Linked DNA regions of Lytechinus pictus. The protein of the gene in region 1 binds, or shares a complex with, the protein of each later gene. Links are inferred from orthologs where the notes say so. Each region holds a gene or a part of one and is shown on either strand. Other genes may lie near its edges.

What was found.
Region 2: basement membrane-specific heparan sulfate proteoglycan core protein-like (region 1) and LIM and senescent cell antigen-like-containing domain protein 1 share a complex: the UniProt entries of both Caenorhabditis elegans proteins name them as parts of the integrin containing attachment complex. The link is inferred for Lytechinus pictus from reciprocal best matches to the Caenorhabditis elegans genes unc-52 and unc-97.

The regions. Positions count from the first base shown.
Region 1 is NC_087258.1:16,588,868-16,596,311, reverse strand, and holds the start of basement membrane-specific heparan sulfate proteoglycan core protein-like, read left to right. Parts: upstream 1-4,253; coding exon 4,254-4,319; intron 4,320-4,700; coding exon 4,701-4,803; intron 4,804-5,121; coding exon 5,122-5,412; intron 5,413-7,444. UniProt on the Caenorhabditis elegans protein: Component of an integrin containing attachment complex, which is required for muscle development and maintenance. Probable structural role in myofilament assembly and/or attachment of the myofilament lattice to the cell membrane.
Region 2 is NC_087260.1:17,723,063-17,730,349, reverse strand, and holds the start of LIM and senescent cell antigen-like-containing domain protein 1, read left to right. Parts: upstream 1-4,242; 5' UTR 4,243-4,434; coding exon 4,435-4,445; intron 4,446-7,287. Other genes in the region: methylosome subunit pICln-like, read right to left, coding at 1,282-1,403. UniProt on the Caenorhabditis elegans protein: Component of an integrin containing attachment complex, which is required for muscle development and maintenance. Probably function in adherens junction.

The DNA.
Region 1 (7,444 bases):
AGATAAATGCCTTGCCAAAGGACACAAGGGCTGCATTCAAAGTTATTATGATCAGAAAGAGGTATAAATGTAGGGTGTAAGAATGTGATTCTCTAAAAACTCATTTTAAGTGTAATGTACCTGTTGCACCTGTCACATACGATTCCCAGAAAGCACTTTCAAAATGAATTATGCCGGCATCATGTTGTTTGATCGTGGCATTACATTGTAGCTCTGAGTTACATTGCATAGAGCCAACAAATGACCCTAAGGCATTTATCTACACTTGCCACTCTCCACCCTGGTGTAGTGAACAATTAAGTTACCCTGCAGGAATAAAATTATTAAAATGTTCAAAGGTCTGATCAGTGTAGCTGTGCTAAAGCTGGGGTAATGATTTGCAACACTTTGAAACATTTGTAGAAAGTGTTATGTAAATGTTGAATATTGCTGTTATTTTGGGCACAAAGTTGAATCCTTGCACCCTCAAAATGAAATTACATCGTACTTTCGAGTGTGGTATCTTTTGGTTCTATGGTCTTTGCGGAGGCATGCACGAGAGGAACAAGGTCTGCGCCGATGGTGTAGCATTCCTCGTGATGTTGAACCATCTAGACCCCAATTGTCCCCGTAGCTCCGGGCCTTGTTGTTTAGGTGACGAACAAGTGACCCCGTGCATATATACTCCCTTGCTTATGAAAATAATATCCCTGACTTTCAACATGAGTCGAGTTTGGGATCAGAGGATGATTTAGTTTTCCGTTTTCACATTTGGATAAGAGGAAAGGGTAGGGTGGATGGATGGATCTTAGCAGGGAATGAATTCAGATACTGTTAATGCCAAATTATGAATTACAATTGTAATTCATAACTTGGCGTTCATAATTTTTACATTGATGTAAAAATTTAGTTTTATACGGGATGGGCAATTTCCCAGGATTTCCCACCACGGGGGTGTTTCACAAAGATTTAAGTATGACTTAGAGTCGCACTTAAAGGTCTAGTTGCGCGCAGTATAAAAGGCATGACCGTATTGGTCAGATCAAGCGAAGAGGACGTGCACTACTGCGTATTGATCAATAAGTTTGCACGTTGCATATCATGTACGTGTCGACATTTAAGTGCGACTTAAGTCATACTTAGATCTTTGTGAAACACCCCCCTGGTGGAAAATACTGGAAAATACTTGTAAATGCTTGGAAGTACTTCAGATGTACAGGGAGGTATAGAGAGAAAGGCTAGAATATGCTTGAGAAACACCAGTGGGCAATACTTGAAAATATCCAAGAAGTATATTTTGTAGTATTTCCCTGCATTTGAAACTATTTCACATTATCTTAGGTAATTAAGCATTATTTACCGGTATTAACCACCTTGTATTTTCCACTCTGGCCAACCCTGGTTTTATAGAAAACCTGTGAATCGGCTTTTAAAAATCATGTTTGTAAGTTGTTTCTCTGTACGATCCTTTGTCTCTCAATCAGAACTTATTATATATATGATCAAACTTTTCTAAGACTTCTAGACTTCGAGACTTCAAATAACCTGTAATGTTGGTTTAATGTTAGGGTGTAGTTAGGGTCTCTGTAGGTATCATGGGACTATGATACTGCTGAAATGAGCATCATTAAACAGATACTTACTAAAAGTATAGAGTATTACGAACATAGTTTTAATTAACATATTCTTTGGCCCAAATTCACAAAGGTGGTTTTGAAAACCATCGGTTGAACCCATGGTTTATGCAGATTTCCTGTATAAATTATACTTATTTACCACGTTTATTGAAAAGCGTCAAATACTGATGCGCGCTTTTGTCACAGTGCGCCAAATTGACGCATCTTGCCATGGTTAAGTATGCTATTTTATTCATGAGTCCACTGTTTTGAATTAATGAGTCCACTCTTCAAACAGTGGACTCGTGAATAAAATAGCGTACTTAACAATGGCAACATGTGTCAGATTTGCTCACTGTGACAAAAGCGTGCTTCAGCATTGGACATTTTATAATATACGCGGTAAATAAGCGTAATTTATACAGGAAATCTGCTTAAACCATGGGTTAAACCGATGGATTTCAAAACCACCTTTTTGAATTCTGGCCTTTGTGTCTGTTAAAACTCTGTTTGCATCCGAAAGTGTTATCATATCCATTATGTTAACATGGAATTCCATCTTCAGACTGCTGAAGGATACATGGGCCCTGTCTTACAAAGAGTTGCGATTGATTCATTCATTCATTCAACCTCAACTTCATGTATATGGAAATCCATCATTGTCATAATTTTTCCTTTTCCAATGTTTCCAATATCCTTTTATAAACAAAGAGGAAACACTGAATTGTCAAGACAGTGATAATTGTAATATGTATCATGTACCTCATGTCTAGAAAACATTTTAAACAACATTCATTTTTGATGTTGGCATTGCTGGCTTTCCGTATTTGTGTTTGATCGGATCAATTGCAACTCTTTGTAATACTTCAGTTGTACACCAGATACCGAAGGTACACCTGACTAAACAGGGGACCACACCAGGGCAGGACTTGATTTAATACCAATATCCACTGCCACCTTTCTACACCTGGGCCGTGTAGTTCAATGAACTGTTATTGTAGACCTACCCACTTCAAATCTAGAGCCTTTAGGCTGGCAAAGAGTTTTGATTAGCCAAATGGATATTTTGGTTGGCCAAAAGTTAGATGTGATAGGGTGTTGACCATCCACAATGTCTGTTGTGTCAAAAAAATTTGGCTGGGCAGAGTTGGTTCAGGTCCGACCTAATTCCAAACGGTAAGCCCCCATCACACTTACTCCGAATCAAGCAGAATTGGCCTGAATGAAAGGACTATTGTTTGACCACCAGTTGGTCATTTAAATCTACTTCGAACACCGTTCGAAAATATCCCTCGAATGTTTTGAACATGACCAAAACCTTTGGGACGGCCAAAAGAAATGACAAAAATATTTCGAATGCACTCAGAATGCAGTCAGGATATTTAGAATGCCCCTAGAATGTCCAAGAACGTAGCACGAATTATCAATCTGACTCTATTGTGGTTCATTTTGACTAGTGTATGATGATACACCTGGTCAATTTACTGAATTTCAACTCCAGTTTGGTGAATTCATAAGTTCCTCCCAAAAATTTCTAAATTTTTTGAATATTTTTTTCTTTCCAGCTTCTGCTTGATTCCTGCTGATTCCGAATAAGTGTGATGGGGGCTGTAAAGGATTTTGACAAACCTGAATGATTTTAAACTGGGCTGGAAGGGAGGAGAGGGGAGGGGGTTTGTAATTTACAATATTTTTTTCATATTAATGTATTTTCTTTCAAAAGTTCTCATACGCCCATAGAATTTGCTTGCTAACTTAGTCAATAGATTTTTGAAAGATGACTGGTCAAGGGCACCCCAACACTAGATCCCCTTTTTCCCTACCAGACTCCTTTTCTTTCAGTCACCTTGAACTAAAGACAATTCTTTCTCTCTCCTGTTGTTATTTATCTACACCCCTGTCTCGTCTATGGCGACTTTGTTGGCTTGAGTGAACCCTACACCGCCCTCAAATGGCCCTACAAATCATGTGCACCCTTGCTTTAAGTCACCCCTCCCCTCCAATTTAAATCCTCTTTCTTTTACCCCTTATTTAGATCTAGCTATCTATTTACTCTTTCCAGTCCCCTCCTGAGGATTTTCCCCCTAAGTCCCTCCCTGCTAGTGCCACTGGTCATCCTCCACCCTGGCTACCACTCATCCTCCACCCTTGCTACCGCTCACCCTTCCCCTTTTGCTTCCATTCTTCAACCATCCTTGCTACCACTCGCCCACCACCCTTGCTACCACTCACCCTCCACCCTTGCTACCCCTCACCCACCACCCTGCTACCACTCCCTCTCCACCTTTGCTACCACTCCCTCTCCACCTTTGCTACCACTCACCCCTTGCTACCACTCACCCTCCATCCTCCAAGTCAAATTAGTTTATTTCACGCCATGTTTACATCAAGCCACATCCTCACTTTTTTCTAGGCAAAGAAATATTTATTCCATTCATGTCCATTCTCTTGTCGCTAAGTTGCATGACAGGCATTACCCCATGGTCTATGAACTTGTCAAAGAGAAAGCCTGCCCTCTTTCCTCTGAAATTTAACTCTAAGCTAGTCTTGTTATTCAGACCCATTCCTTCTATTGTCTGAATACTTTCGCTACACTTCTCTGAGTATATTTCTAACTCAATATCCATGAGGAATTGCAGTATACAAGTATTTGTAATAATGGCAATCATTATCAGTGAAGTGATTCTTACCCACGCTTACAACTTCTTAGATCATAAAATGCTAGTAATTCACAATGGTGAACAAAGTTGAGGAAATGGGTCTGGAAAAGTAGAATCTTCTGTGGATCCGAGGGGTTTAGTTTGGTGCCAAAACTTTTTTTGGAGTACACTGCACAGCGCCGTGGAGTGAAGAGGGTGCTGGATTGAACAGTAGGGAAGGAGGATAGTTGGAGAGAAAGAGGGGTAGCACTGGAGTTGATGGACATAGAGTGGATTTTATTCTAAAAAGATTGTAGATGATGATTTCCTGACTGAGGCTGATTTGGAAGAAAATTAAGTGATACTGATTTTCGCCATCTCTCTCGGTCTCTCTCCTCTGTTGAGCCGTGGAGGCAGTATTTCATGGTCTGATGCTTAATGGAACATTGACTGATACATTTATCAGTTAAAGAGGATTAGGATACATACCTCGGGCTCAGACGGCCAAGCCTTTGGAATGTTGGCTTGGGAGCTTCTAGGTTCCGTCCAGACCTCCAGCTCAAAGTCAAGTTGGTGAACCGAAACCTTGCGGATTTCCCCGGGATTATCCACGTCAGTTTCCATTTTCTGATCCAGGAAAACCTCACGATTTATTCTTGTTTTGTCATCTGCTGCTCCGAAGGAATCCCTTGCATCACTGGTCTGTTTTGGTGATGGCAACAGAATGAACACGCAACGTGGAACAACTTGTCAGTAGTTGCGCATGTGTTGCCTTTTTACTTGATTAAGGAGACTCAAAGAATTTTGTTAAAGAGAATTAAACCAACCAACCATGGATCAGAATACTCATTTGATGCCCTCCATGATTTCTATTGTTTTCTGTGCAGTTATTCTAGGGACCTCTACCACGCCTTTCGTCTCGACGCAAGCGATCACCCAACCAGGACCGGAATGCGATCTCAGTCGAGAGTTTTACTGCTCTTACTACGGGATCTGCATGTCCCTTAACCTCCGTTGCGACGGTGTCTTGCACTGTCCGGAGCCGTCCGAGGAGGAAGGATGCCCACCAAGGTGTGCGTTTGGCCAGGATAGATGTCCTGACGGAAGCTGCCTTGATACCACCCAAATATGCGACGGTTACTACGATTGCGCCGATAGATCTGATGAACTTGGATGCTGTAAGTACAACCATTACTTAATCCCATCTGTACCTGTTAGCACTTAAGGAAACAGATCACACTCTGATATTTAAGAAATCTAGTAACAACGGGAACTAGTCCTAGCCACTCCTATGCTGTTGATAGTAGTCTTTTGTTGCAGATATAGGTTCTAGGACACACCTTAAAGCACCCCATTGTCAATTTCTGTTGCGATTATGTTGAGCATTGTTAGCGGCTAGAAATTATTTTTCATTATACTGCATAAACAGCTTTGTGTCTACTCTAAACCAGCAATTTGATTGATTTCTAATATTCATTTTATAGACATGCAAGCATTTTATTAGTTGTTTAAGTCTGCTTCTGTTTATTTTCTTAAATATTCTTTTGAGAATAAAGTTTGGCTCACCACATATGCATGAAATTTTTTTTTGGCACTGTTTCTTGTATCTAGATATTATGCTGCAATGAATGATACATTAGGCCTAAATCTAGGATATTTGTTACTTATACATAGTTTTGAATATATTCTTATGCATGAATTTCTCTTGCTCCATGAAGGCTGATTGAATATATTTGCATTGAAAATCTCTTTCTGTTTAAAAAAAATCAACTTGAAAAGAAATGTCATTGATGCATTATATAAAATTTTGATAAAATAAATAATAATTTGTACTTTGTTTGTAATTGTATGTAAATGTTTATATGATGTTTTCTTTGTTTTAATGCATTTGTCTGCCATGTGATAATTTGACTTTATTTTTAACCATTTTTAATTCATGATTAATCAGTCATTTGAAATTAAGAATGTTGCTTTGCAATGCTTTGTTGAGCAGCTGAGTGTTAACTAATTGCTTATTCTAATGCTCGTTTTAATGCTCGTTGTGAATGTTTTTTGTGTGAAGTTGTGTTAGTTGAGTATCCATTTGTTAATAGCAGTAGTCTGGGTTGGTGTAGCGCTATATATGAAATAACAAACAAATTATGAAGCACTTAACCACACATACGCCTATATAATCCCAGCCGCTAGATTCATTTATGCACCGTTAAAAAGATATATGCGGTAAAATTGCTGTTTAAACATTTTAAGCTTGTCACTCCAATAACTATTGTTTAAACCTTTCTTAATCTGTTCAAAAATTTGATCAATAGTTGTTAGAGTGACAGGCTTATCAAAACAACGCTAACATTTTAAACAACATTTTTACAGTGTAGGGCCCAGCATACAACCACTACCTTGGAAGTATCCCATACTCACAGTATCAGGTCATCATGTATCCAAATAGTATTAACTAGGAAAAGGTTTTATTATCCTGCCAAGGTCCCATTCCTTCCCCCAGGTTCAAAGTGGTAATATAAATCAAAGCTTCACAACGTTCCTTGAATCCTTTCTGTGACTACAAAAACCAACTTATGATAATATAGACTAGTCATAAATTTTATTGTATAGGTAAATAATAGATGATGATTTAGATGATTCAGTGTACCTTTTTACTTTTCACTGTATGTAGGTTACAGAGATTAGGCCTACTGTGTTAGTTATAATCCCCTTTAAAGGTGTGGGGGAATCATCTTTGTATTATGTCAGTTTAGATTAAAAAAAGTATATCCAAATATTAGAAAAGTAAAAGAAACCTATGAAGTTTTGAATGGTTCATGACTGGAAATATTTTCTCGCTCAAAAGCATGTAGGCCCTACATGAAATGATATATCTGATGATGTATTAAGTCAGTGCACATGAGAAATAATTTTCTTTTGATAAAATATTATATTTTATTGGGTAGCTCCATGCATGTGACGTCACAAAATACAAATAGTTTAGATTCCACAGCTTTGTTGTGGATTTTCTGGTAACTTTCATTAATGAGTTTATTATCTCTTCTCTTTTTATAAAACCAATTTGATTTTTGAGTGAACTTCCCCTTTAATTGGATAGGATGTCTGTGTGGGGCAATTAGTTTTTATGGAAGGTTACTGCTTGAGTTCAATCCTCTCATCAAAAAGGCGTTTTACTTTTATCACATTAATGTTGAAAATTTAAAGGGCAGTGAA
Region 2 (7,287 bases), on another chromosome or scaffold:
GATCTGTACAGGGACTTGATCTCTGTATGTTTATGTATGAAGTTCGGATGAACCAGTGAAAATGGCGTTGCGCGACAGCCAAAGTCACTGGTTTTTTCCTTTTGAAGTTTATTTTTCCCCGTTTTGGTGCATGCCATTTCAGGCCAAAACGGAATACATGTACTTTAATTTAGTCCAGTTCTTTTTATATATTTTTATGAAATAAAGACAAGAATCGATGAGTCCCGGCATCGGAGGGATCACAGGCTTCACAGCTGGATTTTGCATTGTTAACCCCCTAATGGCGGCTGCACGATCGCGAGCCGTCTGTGTACGAGAATTAAAAAAAAATTAAAAATGTTAAAAAACTCCGCGAAACAGACTGCTGCCAGCTGTCTATATCAGTCCTACCTCGAGCGAAGTTCATGCAGGCTCCACTCCACTTCACATCCTCACACATATAAATAATTCGCTGCCGGTTTCAAAACATCGCATGCGCGAGGGTCCGAGCTTGGACCGGACCCGGCACCTCGCACATACAATGTATCGCATCCGCATGCGATGTTTTGAAATTGGCAGCGAATTATTTATGTGTGAGGAACTTCATGTTGGCTCTAAACTAAATCACCAATTTTGAGACTGATAGAAGCATGGAAAAGAAGTGAAACTTAGTGTAAAGTAAGAATATTATTATTAGTTTTATTGTTTTTATTAAATATCGTGATGTTGCATGAATTTTATATTTCCCCCCCATAAAACCCCACCTTTCATGTCCTTTGTCACTCGGAATATCAGATCGAGTTCACGGTCTCGAAGTTCGGGTTGGTGGAGCGTAGTGTAGCGGTAGTGGACTCTGTGGAGTGGAGCCTGCACGAACTTCGGGTTGGTGGAGCGTAGACGTACATGCATGTAGTGACTAGTGACTGTAGCTAGCGCCAGTAGCGGTAGTGAAGTGGAGCCTGCACTGCAGGCTGCACGAACTTCGCTCGATCGTATCAGACCACATGCATCAGTAGGCCTACCGAATTTGGAGCCCATTATCCAGCCTTTCACAAGCTTCATTCTCTCTCATTAGCCGACCCCCTGGCAAAAATAATCCGGAACGACCAGGCCATGCTGCATGCATGCATGTCGGGCGCGGCGCTTGCTGCAGGATCAGGAATAAATCCCAGCGCAATTTGTACCGGGTCCAGGCCGACTCTTCCCCGATCATGACGGCTAGAGTTTCGTCTAAATGGAGTCTCTGATCATGCCCGACAGGCGCGGCGCAGCGCGCACGCCTTATTACTTAGTTTTTTTTACCTTTCAGCTATGTATAATGTCCCCTTAGACAAGTCTTGTTTCTCCACGAAAGCAATGGTGTCATCTTTCTGCCACCTCACTGATGACTGTGGAGGTTGAATTGAAGCGATAAATCCCATCATTATTTCCCTTCTTTTTTTTCAAGACACCCGCGTGATGGCGATATCTTCATCGAATCGACTAAATTTCGTTGGGTTCATTCGACAGAGATGGCGCTGTGCCAAATAAGGTCCATGGCCATGGTTCAACATCGACCGTTCAATTCAATTTTTATTTTGGGGGTTTTCGGAAAAAAATGTAGATTTTTCATTGAAAGACTGTTTTGTGTGTGTGTCAGATATTAAAAGGTAAATTATTAGAGGCTTATTTTTTTATAAAACGTATGGATTTTTTTTTATAAAACGTATAGGACGTATAAAAGGCATAGGGGAGGGGTAAGGTACCGAAGAGGAGAAAAAATACCGAGGAGAAAAGGGGAGAGAAATGAATGAAGAAGAGAGAATAGTATGAAAATTAGAAGTCGTAGACACAAACTCGTCTCTATTTACCCATATAACTAAAAATGTCTCTAGAGAAAAGTATAGCCTAGGCTAGTAGAAATGAACGACAAGTGCCCATCATTAGCTTTCGATCAACTCACACTAGTCTTCCGCTGAGAGAACCCCGATCGATCTATTAAGTCATTTTTTTTAGTGAAAAATCTTTAAACATGGGGTATTGTATTGGGGTATCAGTTTGAGCTTGAAAATCTGTAAAGGATAAGCCCACCCCAACAAAAAGATGGTTTGAATAAAAAGAGAAAAATCAAACAGGTATAACAAATAAATTTTCATCAAATTCGGATGTAAAATAAGAAAGTTATAACATTTTTAAGTTTTGCTTAATTTCACGTAATAGTTATTCACATACTGGTCGGCATGCAAATGAGGGTACTGATGACCCCGGGCTGATGGCATCCACTCTTTTGTATTTCATTACATGGAATATGAAATATTCTAATTTTCTTCTCGTTGTCATGTGAAACAAAGTTTTATTCCTCCCTGAACATGACTGAGTAATTATCATTAACATTTTGTGATTCTATAACTATAGTAGGCCTATCAAGAGGGTCATTATTGTCAAATCTGCAAAAATTTAAATAGTTATTTTAAACAATAAAAAACAAAAGAAATAGTGAGTCAGGAACATCATCGACTCTCTCATTTGCATTTTAATGAGTTATTTATACAACTGTTTTGTGAAAAATATACGCGAAACTTTAAAGTGTCATAACTTTTTTATTTTATATCCGATCATTTGATGGAATTTTCAGTGTTATGCTTTTTTTATTTTTCTCTTCAAATTAACTTGTTTTTTCCTAGGTGAACTAGACCTTTAAACATACCTTGTAAATGATTTTGTCTTTTCGTAAATTTAACCCATTTAAGTCATTTTTTCCCAGTTTTCCAACAAACTTCAATTTTTGCGTCCGTCAGTAAACAATTTTTTTTTTAAAGTTACACATGCCATTACAAACGACTAGAACACAACATGGGTCTCTTTTAGGAAGAAAATCCGTAATAATAATGGGTACCCCCTTTCACAAAAAATAATTGAAAATAGGCACGAGTTTCAATTAAGGCTTCATCTGTACAACCCCTCCGGACCGATAAATCGTTGATTTGGCTCAACAGGTTGTGGAGGCTGAAAAAATACAATTATTTACTTTTTTCATATTTTTTTTCTTTATTTTATTTTGCCGGATCTCGTGATTATGAATTTTAACTATCAGTATCTTTAAAACCCCAACCTGAGAAACCAATTAATTGAATGCTTTATAAACATGATTTTGTACTCCATTTTTTTTCAGCCTCCACTTTCTTTTTCAATAAACGTATTTATTATTATTATCATCATCTCATTGGGATTTTTTTATTTTTTTAAATATACATATCTTCATTGAGCATTGAGAGTCAAATTAAGAGAATATGCAAATGATATGTTATACCAACCTGAATACAGACCGTGATCTTTTCTCCTCTGTCAGGTAATTTTATTTTACATAAATATGATTGATTTTTTTTTATAGATATGTATGTCCTTTTTTCTTTTCCTTATTTTTCTTTTATCTTTTTTCCTTCTATTCTCCTCTTCGTGTTGTTATTGTTGTTGTTCTACGTGTTCTTTTTCTTCCTTTCCTCCTCAATTCTTCTTCCGTAATTCTTCTCCTCCTCCTCCTTCTTCTTCTTCTTCTTAATTTCTTCTTCTTCCGTTCTTCTTCTTCTTCTCTTCTTTATATATTTTTCTTGTATATATCATCTCTATATCTTATTCATTGCTTAAAGTGAATTGTGATTTCCTTTTTGTGTGTAAATAGTATAAATTTACCTTTTATTATTTCAATTCTATTTTGGCCTACATATCGATCGAGGACCCCACTGGAAATAAGCTTTCGAGCTTTCGTGGGTCTTCCTTTGAAAGCCTTTAATGTTATTATGTTGTGGCCGGTGACTTACCAAGTAAAATTCATCCATCCATCCATCCAGTGGCGCTGGCGTACCTAGGATTTTCCACAGGGGGGGGGGGGGGGCAAATTCGTCCGCCAAAAAAATTTGACAAGCAAAAAAAAAAAAAAAAAAAAAAAAAAGGTCTTCAACCACAAATAAATGATTTTGTACCAGATAAAAATTTGACAAGCAAAAAAAAAGGTCTTCAAGACTCGTCAGGGGGGGGGGCAGGCATATGTCCCTTGCATGGGTTGTGACTCGTCAGGGGGGCAGTCTGCCCCCTCTGCCCCCCCCCCCCCCCCGTAGGTACGCTAGTGCATCCATCCATCCACCCATCCATCCATCCCCCATCCATCCGTCAGTCAATCCATCCATCCACCCATCCATCCATCCATCCATCCATCCATCCATCCCCCATCCATCCATCCATCAATTAATCAATCAATAGCCCCTCTCCCATGCCGATCGTGTGGCCGTGGGGACGGGGCCCTAATTCTGTGACTACTGTTTCTCGCTGATCCTCAAGTATCGCAATATGCATAGGACATAGCCCTTGAGAGAGGAATCAGCGAACCTCTTGCACACTTCACTGTTGATGTTGTCGACTTCCGCTAGCTGCGGATTATATTTTTAGGAGTGGCTTTTTGGCAAATTTTATCGATCACCGATGACAAAAACGTGAGTGTTTCTATCAACTTAATACTTGTTATTGAAAGCCTTTGATGTTGTGAGCTAGAATACTTTTAAACCACCAATTTCCAGTATATTTCCTATGTATTAGCAGTTCCTATAGTCAGAAATTGTATTTATTTATGGAAATTCTATCGCGCTCAGCATGAGTCAACGGAGAAGCAGTTAGCGAATGCAGCGGATTCTGAATGCTTCGCATACCGGAGTTGCCCCTAAGCACGTCGGCGAGTTAGAGGTCAAACCCGCTAGCTGAGAAACGTCTACTGCAGTGGTATCTGATTACAGTGCTGGGTAGCATGTATTTTAGACGTTTTCTTTACAATTATTGTAAATGATCAAATAGAAATTCCCATATGATGTAGGGCATGTAACTCTTAGCCTTTAGGACTAGTACTAGTACTAGTAGTAGTAGGACTAGGACTCACTATTTGTATAAAATTAAAAGTACTAGTGATGGCAGTGTATATAGGGCCTAGTAATAGTATTATTATTGCCTGACATGACACCTTTAATATTTTCAGTGCTTTAAAAATGACAACTAGAGGAAATGCAATCAAGAAAAATTCACGCTTGCTTTTCCAAATATTATGAAAATTATGAATATGATAACATTATTTTATATTTACCAACCTATTTCTTCGTATCGCACTTGCCGCATACCCCTCCACGAAAAACCATTATTTTTGTGCGCGACAAATTACATCATGATTCCGGACGCGCGCCGGACGGGTAAAGATATCCTTGATTATAATGATGTAAGAACAAATTTTTGTGATTTTTTTCTTCTTTTATCATATCATGAGTAAATTCTAAGTATTATTTGCTTTTTTTATATCGAATCTGAGCAGATGTTGGTAATAAATTCGTGTTTGATAACTTTTTGTCTTGTTAGCTGCATGTTCCATGGCACTTTCCAATAATAATATGCACGCGTTCGTATCGTGACGCTCATCAAGTTCTATCGATGCGCTGCCGATCGACGGCTCTACTCACGGTAAACCTCGCGCACGGGTACCTTGAGAACTAGCCGTCAACGATCACCCACAATGCCCCACACCTCGTCATTCGATCGAAGGAGTGGACGAGATTGAAATTCGGCAAATCAGGCCCATATTTCCGTTAGAAAATATATCAATTGTTAATACAAAACTATGTTATATGATATTTTAAGCATTTTCTGTAATTTTTAGAGATAATTAGGTAAAAGTTTGATTTTTTGCTTTGTTTTTGCAATCTTGTTCTATGTATTGCTCTGTGAAATTGAATTGCGGAAGTCTTACGGTACGAATTTGTTTTAGAACGCAGTGATACGCGCGTCCGGAAACATAATAGTGTCCGGTAATACAATACGTGACTATACTACTCAGTCAGACGGCAGGTCCCAAGAAAGTGGCTTCTTTCATCCAAGTGATAATTGATATTCATGACTTGAGATGTTTTGCATATTTAATGAGCTTGATGCGGACCAAAACACCTCTTTTCATTCGGTCTTTGCTGCTCTACTTGTGCATCGAATTTCATGAATTTGGTATCATTGTAAAGAAGAAGAATCATTCTTTTAGTTTTAGGTCATGTGTTTGAATTCATTCAAAGATTTTGTAATATACTGTAGGTTAAAATTTTGATCTAAAATATGCTACAAAATAATTATTTTCACATGAAAAAAGCTGCTTATTTTTGTTTGAGCCCAAATGATTTTTAGATCATGATAAAGCTGAATATGTATGCTTTAAAATGACATAGGTTTCAAAATAAGAATTGGTTTAATCGGGTCAAGATCACACTTTTCATTTGCCAAGTACATAAAGCAGCATGAAAACAAGAATACTGCACTCTGATTGGTCAAAGAGACCACACACTGGCAAATTCCAACGGTTCCAGTGCCTGGGTTCATGGGAAGGTCACACTTCCCATGTGGTAATCTCCTCAAATACCCCGCGCCTGTTGTTCTGTGAACCTTATCCAGCCAATCAGAACTCTGGATTTCATGCATGTACAAAATTTCAGAAATCTCGTCTTGTACCTTGGTGGGAAAAGTGTGATCTTGATCCGATTAAAAGGTGCCGCATATCAAGAGTGGCATTGTGAGAAAGTACAGAAGTTCAGCTTTATGGTGATATAGATATCATTGAGGCTCAAAATAAAAAGTTTTGCACAATTTGCAAAAGAAAACAGAGGAAGAAAATTCAGTTTTGAGGCACATTTTCAGGCCAGAAATTTACTTATTTAACAAAATATTGTATACAAAATAAATGACCAATATGAAAGAGTAACATTTACTCTATCTGATGGTGCAATAATATTTCATTTAACTTGAGGTTAAAACAGGTAAATTCTAAGAGAAAGAAAATCTCACGAATCACGAGATTTTGCAAGGAGGAGGATTCAGCCACGAGATGATTTGGATGAATCTGGCCTTTTTGCTCATTAGCATAGGGACCTGCGGTCTGACTGTACTGGTACTACTTTACTAGTAATAGGTACATTACATGTGATGTAGGGGGGTTAATAAGAACTGAACTAAAAAATAGGGCAGGCGGCAGTCACAATTTGTGTTGTCTTTTTGGTTGTGTTGCTGTCCATAATTAATAATCATCTAGACTATTAATAAAGTTACTGTCTACGTTAACTAGACTAAGACACATGTAGATCTAAGTCTAAGTGTTAAGTGTCGTACACGAAGATATCTACATTATTATATTATACATGTAGTAAATATACATGTTACTTCACATTATTAAAGGACAAGTACACCCCAACAAAAAGTTGATTTGAATAAAAAGAAAAAAAAATCCAACAAGCATAACACTGAAAATTTCATCAAAATCAG